Cricetulus griseus: one gene and its partner. The protein of the gene in region 2 interacts with the protein of the main gene of each other region in a pairwise test. Links are inferred from orthologs where the notes say so. Each region holds a gene or a part of one and is shown on either strand. Other genes may lie near its edges.

Evidence for each region. The genes of interacting proteins can lie anywhere in the genome.
Region 1: the proteins of Gadd45g (region 2) and Lrif1 interact in binary tests that used the Homo sapiens proteins (3 or more experiments, as listed by UniProt). The link is inferred for Cricetulus griseus from reciprocal best matches to the Homo sapiens genes GADD45G and LRIF1.

The regions. Positions count from the first base shown.
Region 1 is NW_023276806.1:50,369,897-50,373,653, reverse strand, and holds the end of Lrif1 (ligand-dependent nuclear receptor-interacting factor 1), read left to right. Parts: intron 1-258; coding exon 259-528; intron 529-2,408; coding exon 2,409-2,843; 3' UTR 2,844-3,595; downstream 3,596-3,757. UniProt on the Homo sapiens protein: Together with SMCHD1, involved in chromosome X inactivation in females by promoting the compaction of heterochromatin.
Region 2 is NC_048596.1:270,787,824-270,791,122, forward strand, and holds Gadd45g (growth arrest and DNA damage-inducible protein GADD45 gamma), read left to right. Parts: upstream 1-935; 5' UTR 936-1,048; coding exon 1,049-1,101; intron 1,102-1,585; coding exon 1,586-1,687; intron 1,688-1,789; coding exon 1,790-2,003; intron 2,004-2,100; coding exon 2,101-2,211; 3' UTR 2,212-2,721; downstream 2,722-3,299. UniProt on the Homo sapiens protein: Involved in the regulation of growth and apoptosis. Mediates activation of stress-responsive MTK1/MEKK4 MAPKKK.

The DNA.
Region 1 (3,757 bases), on a different chromosome or scaffold from region 2:
TTGAGGAGTGCAGTCGTCTCTCCTCATGTACATGTTACTTTGTTACTTTTCTGTACAATAAAATTTGTAATTGTATGGATAGTTTACATTTGTATTCATTTAAATTCCGTTTTTAAATGGTAAAAATAAATGAAATGCAAATCTTTTAAAGTATTAATCATTCTTTTGTGGAAGAGTTGATAATTGCTTAGTTACTCACCTGACAGAGCAATCCAAGTAATGAGCAATATTGTTTGTGTTTTCTTCTCTTGATTCCAGACCCAGTGTGAGATGGCATCGATGTTAAAAAAAAATACTGAAGAAAGAAATAAGAAATATTCTGAAGGAAGTAATACTAAGGCATCATATCTGAAGAGTGATGCTGAACTTAAAAAGCTATTTGGTCTCACTAAAGATTTGAGAGTGGGTCTTACTCGCATTCCTGACTATCTGGGTTCTAGAAAAGGTTCTGATTCCGTTAGCAGTTTGATGAAGAGTAGCTCTTACAAAGATGCAGAGTTTGTGGTGAAGGAAGAAGAAATAAAACAGGTAATAGTTTTGTTTTTGTTGTTTTTAAGTGTATGACATTTTTGTAGGTGTGACAAAGTTACATGGTTATCTTTTGGTTTTAATGTGCATTAGATTGAATGATTTTTTTTATGAAACTTGTAAATATCTCATACCAAACAGTGACAAAAATCATGCACACAGATAAAAATATATCCCTAGTTAATTTGAGTTCTAAGTATTTTTAGTCACCTTGGTTTTTTTTCCTTTTGTCATGTAAGAAAATAGTCTAGAGAGTTGGTTCAGTAGTTAACAGCACTTGTTGCTCATTCAGAGGTCCCTGATTTAATTCCAGTATCCACATGGTGGTTCACAACCATCTGTAACTCTAGTGGCAAGGGAATCAGACACCCTGGGCACCAGGTAAATACATGCTACACATGCAGCAGGTCAAAAACTCAGAAATTAATAAAATGAGTAAATATCTTTAAAAAGGAAAATAGCAAAAAAGCATTTCAACTAGTTATCCTATTTTAAAGAATTACCTAAAGAAAATAAGTATAAGGGAAAATGTGAGCATGCTGATGTTCATTGAAGTGTTAACACTTAATAAAATTTTTAAAGTTACTTTTCTATAATTTTTTGCAGATATTTTTATTTGAATTAAAAACAAGATTGTTTTACGTGACAATCCCAGTTCCCTCTCCCTCCCATCCTCCCCTGCCCCCCCAACTAAAACCCTACCTATGACATATTCTTTCTGCTCCCCCTGGTGAAGCCTTCCATAGGGTTTCATCAGCCCACCCCTGTGTGTCTTGGCTCAGGGAGTATTCCTCTATGTGGAATGGGCTCCCAAAGTCCACACCTATGCTAGGGATAAGTACTGAACTACTACTGGAGGTGCCATAGATTTCCAAGGTCTCACTGAAACCCATGTTCCTGGGGTCTGGATCAGTCCCATGCTGGTATCCTGCTATCAGTCTGGTGATCAAGAGCTCCCCGATATTCAGGTCAGCTGTTTCTGTGTGTTTCACCAGCCTGGTCTGGACCCCTTTGCTCTTCACTCATCCTTCTCTGCATCTGGATTCCAGTTCAGTTCAGTGATTAGTTGTGGGTGTCTGCTTCTACTTTGACCAGCTGCTGGATGAGAGCTTTCCGGTGGCATATAAGTCAGTCATGAATCTCATCATCAGGGGAGTGCATTTAAGGTAGCCGCTCCTCTGTTGCTTAGATTGTTAGCTGGTGTCATCTTTGTAGCTCTCCAGACATTTCCCTAGTGCCTGATTTCTCTGTAAACCTAAAATGTCTCCCTCTACTATGGTATCTCTATTCTTGTTATCTTCTATTCTTCCCCTGACTCAACCTTTCTGCTCCCTCATGTCCTCCTCACCCTTCCTCTTCTCCCCTTCTCATTCTCCTAGCTCCCCCCCCTTCCCGTGCTCCCAATTTGCTCAGGAGATCTTGTCCCTTTCCCCTTCTCCAGGGGACCATAACACTTAATAAATTTTAAGCAGCATATACAGACAGTAATGCAATGTACTATAATTATGCTTACAAACATTATAATCTAGTATTCTGAACTTCATCCATTTCAGATAAACCTCAAGGAAAAGTTTCTCTATGTGCCTGCTTTGCAAATGAAATAAAAATTTAAACAATTTATCTCAGGTGCTGTTTCAATGATAGGTCAGTTTGGCTTCTAATACCTGGTTTAAACAAGAAAATGAAAATACACTAGCTTGTTTTCTAGAACTATGATTGTGACTTTTTGTTTTAGTACCATGTAGTAGGATCCAGCTTTTACTATAGTTATCCCCAGTAAAATTTGTGAAATCAAATTTAATTGCTATTATTTGCCTAACTTTGATTTGAAAGCATGTGGCATAGCAATAACATTATTTTTTGTCTTATAATTGCAACAGAGTTTTTCTAAGAAAAGAAGAGCAAAAAATATTAAGAAGATGGAATACACAAAAAGGAGAAAAATTAAGAGGGCTAGTGACACAGTCATGAATGGAACAGATGTTGCCAGTTCCCAACTCCTTAGTATTTTACCCACATCAGAAGTACCGCAACATAACATTGTCACAAGCCATAGCACAACCAGGGAAGACAAGAGAACTGAGGTAGAACATTGCTCCCATGAGAAGCAGGACAAAGGCACATTAAGTTCAAGTGTATCTTTTGAACAGAGTAATTGTTTTAATAAAAGCTACACTGAAGACATTTTTCTAGTGACACCACCAGAATTAGAAGAAACCATCAGAGATGAAAAAATAAGAAGACTTAAGCAGATTGTAAAAGAGAAAGAAGCAGCTCTTGAAGAAATGCGTAAGAAGATGCACCAAAAACAGTAAAATGTCTAGGATTTAAAGACTTGTACTACTACAGTAGTTCTCTCTCACCTGCTGGGGATACAGTCAAGACCCCCCCCCCGCCCCAGTGAATACCTGAACTGGAGATGATACCAAATTCTGTATTCTGTATACAAATGATGTAAAATCTTGATGTTTATTCTGATAACTCAACATCTGCTTTAGATAATAACAAGAAAGTAGGATATGCACTTCAGATACACTCAATGAAGAGGATAATTGATATCCTGAATAGGACACTGAAATTTTTTGTCATGCTACTCAGAATGGCATATAATTTAAGAGTTATGAATTCCTCCTTTCTGGAGTTTCTCATTGATATTTTGGACAGCAGATTATCATGGGCGTCAGAAAACAGAAGAGGCAACTGCAGGTTACAGAGGATTACTGTTATTTATAAAGGCACTCTGAAAGTGTCTTTGTATATAAAACTTGAGTACAGAAAAGGTTGAGTCATTTGACTCATTGAAAATCTATATGACATATTTTGACTCACTTGTTTTGGAAGAAAATTTTTGGTATTTTTCTGTGAAATGAAATTCCCCAAGTTTGAATATTTTGTACAAAATTTCTGTTAATGTTATATCTTCTACTAAATTCCTCAGGTCTTACACTAACAAATATTGTGTACTAAAAGTCTACAATCCAAGATAGTCAGCTGTAAGCTTAACTTTACCATTGAGTTTCTATGTGTACTGTCTTGATCTTCTTACCTATAAAAATGATACAACCTATTCACTGTTGTTGCTATTTTTTCCATCAAGAAAATCTATTAAAATTTATTTACTCAAATATTTTTCGACATGAAGGGCAGATGCTTTTTGCATGTCTGCAATATTATATATTCCAAAAAGTTTGAAGTTTAGGCTATTTAATGATATTTTATCTTTGGCTTG
Region 2 (3,299 bases):
GGGGACGCGTGCATCAGAATCCCAGCAACCAGGGCGAGTCTGAGAGGTGCGCACCCCGGGGCGGGGGAGCGGCACGCGGCTCAGACCCCCACGTGCCGGGCAACCCCGCGACCCCCGCGCGCGGCGGGGCTCTGCCCACCCCACCCGGCGGCAGGTGGACAGTGTTGCTATGAAAGAGAAAGCGTCGATTGTCCCCACTGCGAACTGCCACACGCCAGACCTCCTCTTTTGTGTGCCCCGTATAGAAATGCAAACGAGCCGCGTGTGCCGGCAGCAATCTGCTGGTCCCTGCTGCCCGCGCCCCACAGCGATCTGCCAGGGGCAGGGGCAGGGGCAGGGGTGGGGGACGGGACGGGACAGGGGCCGGGGTGTGGGTGTGGGGGAGGGCGGCGCAGACCTTGCAGCCGCGACCCTGAAAGGCGCTGAGTCCTGAGTTCTAGAGGCGACCTTGGCCTGGTGTCAGCTGCAGTTGCAAACCTTTGACTTTTTAAGTTTCGGTTTCAATGCAACAGCCCCATAAACCTCAATTTGGAAATTAAAAAAAAAATTAGAAAGGTCGCAATAAAAATAAATGCAAAAAAAGGCTTTTTACATTCTCCAAGCGTGCATTTCACAAATTCCAGTATCATATTAGCAAACAACGTTGTTGGTTTTTTTTTTTAACTTTTTCCTTTTAAGGACTTACAAAAAAGAAAACGAGATGAAATCTGCAGGCTCCAGTCTGCCTGGTAACACCCTGACAAAAGCGGCAGATTTGAGGCTGTGTCATCCCCCGCACCCCTCCCCACGTGGCCTTCTGGCACGAGCCGCGGGCCTGCCGCCTCATTTGCATCAGAAAGCGGGCGCTGGCCAATGGGAGCGCAGCCTCCCGCCAGCTGGCGGCGTCGCGCGGGGCCCGTCTATAAAAGGGCGCTCGCCGCGGTGCCTGGCGCACTCGCTGGTGGTGGGCGCGCGGGTCGGGTTCTGGGGCTCCTTACCTGCGCTCGGGATCCCTCGGTTCCCTCCACACTCCTCACTTTTGGATAACTTGCTGCCCGTGGATCGTACAATGACTCTGGAAGAAGTCCGTGGCCAGGATACAGTTCCGGAAAGCACAGCCAGGTAGGTTTTGGGGTGGCGAGGGTTGGACTTGTCGGGTAGAGATCTTTCAGGGTCTTCTAGGGTGGAAGTTTGTGGGGTGGGAGCCGTGCCCTGCCTGACAGCGAGGTGCCGAGGCGGTGGGGCCACAATTACTCCGTCCGATTCATTCCTAGAGCTAGAGACTGGGATTCTGGCACCGGGTCCGGATTGGGGAGCCTGGGCTATGGGCTCCAGATCAGGAGTAGGGAACCGGGGGTGCAGGCGCCGGGGCGAGACTAGGTGATGGGGAATGAGGGCGCCAGATCATGACTAGGGTGCCAGAGGTGTGGGCGCCAAGTCGGGACTGGGGATCCGGGTGTGTGGGCGCCAGGTTGGAGTTGGGAGGCAGGAATGCTGGCGCCAGGCAGGTCTAGGCTAAGGAGCCAGCTGGGACCTGGAGGTCAGGGCTGGGATCTCCGCCGCGTCCTCGTGCTGGTCCCCACTCACCGTGCTTGTTCTCTTACAGGATGCAGGGCGCCGGGAAAGCGCTGCACGAACTTCTGCTGTCGGCGCAGCGCCAGGGCTGTCTGACCGCTGGCGTCTACGAGTCCGCCAAAGTCCTGAATGTGTGAGTATGGACAGGCCCTGCGTGCAGGGATTGGGTTTGGCGCGGCTGGGAGACCTGGGGGTGGCATCGGCTCTGACCTTGTTCTTCCCATCTGCTCTGCAGGGACCCTGACAATGTGACCTTTTGCGTGCTGGCTGCCGATGAAGAAGATGAGGGCGACATAGCGCTGCAGATCCATTTCACGCTGATCCAGGCGTTCTGCTGTGAGAACGACATTGACATCGTGCGCGTGGGTGATGTTCAGCGGCTAGCGGCGATCGTGGGTGCGGACGACGAGGCGGGCGCGCCGGGGGACCTGCACTGCATACTCATTTCGGTGAGTGCTGCTGTTGCCTCCCCACGCCGGTTTCCCCCACCCGTTTTGGCCATCGGCCAGCCTGGCTCACCCCTGAATTTTTTTTTTTTTAATACAGAATCCTAATGAGGACACGTGGAAGGACCCTGCTTTGGAGAAACTCAGCGTGTTCTGCGAGGAAAGCCGCAGCTTCAACGACTGGGTGCCCAGCATTACACTTCCCGAGTGACAGCCCGGCAGGGACCTTGATCTGATCGACTTGGTGACGCTCTAGCGCGCTGCTGGCTCTGGAGTGGCCCTCCGAGGGCGCTCGAGTGCGCATGGAGACTGGCAGGCGGTGTTGCCTGGAGAGCGAGGAGCGCAGCCTCCCAAGAAGGGGGCCTGGCGGCGGCGGGGACACCTTGTTCCGAGCCCAGGACTCTGCCACTGTCCAGAGAGGCTGCTAGCACAGGAAGGCCTAGGCAGGGACGTTGGCCGCAGGGCCGGGAAGAACCGACTAGTGAGGCAGGCGTGACTCAGCAGCCTTCCAGTGAAACGAGAGGAAAAGCAAGGCAGGCGGCCTGGACTTGGTACAGCTACAGGAGTGGCCAGCTGCAGGAGCGAGCCGGACTTCGCAGGCTGCACCGCTCTTTCCCAAAAGGGATCCCGGGCAATGCTTTCATTTTCTAAAGGACGCTATCGTGGAAGCTTTGAATTTCACAATAAACTCATTGAAACAAACTTCCGCCTTTTATTGAGGGCAGGGGATTCCTATCTCGGGGGAGGTGGTAAAGGGTGTTTCTGGTGGTTGATGGAGCTTATGGCACCTGTAACCACCTTTCTGTTGGGCAAGAAATTACAGCCTGCTGGGGCTGGCAGTGGGGGAGGGGATGGTGGCGAGAAGTAAGGGGGAGGACTTGGGGCCCGAGTACTGTTTTATCCTTCCAGGAAGATTTTTAACTTGCAAGACGGGGGCATACTTGAGATAAGGCATCCCGGCGCAGGAGCGCAAGGCTTGCAATCCAATCCGATAACAGTGACTTCTGCTTCCAGTTTCTCCCCTCCCCCCCTTGCCTCCGACAGCTGCTTATCTGAACCGCTTGCGGGAGGCCCTGCGCCTTCCAATACAATGAGCTGCCTTCTGCAACTCTGCCCTCGGTGGTGCCTGTGGATAGGGGTGGACTGCTCTTGCTTTCAGGAACTTTCTCCTTTTAATTGCTCTGGCAAAGCAGCGCTACTAAAGTATTAATATCAAATATGACACCAACGACTGCGTTTTAAGTGTGAATCATCATTTTGTCACGGCCGTGATGGAAATCTTAGCAGTATCTTAGCAGA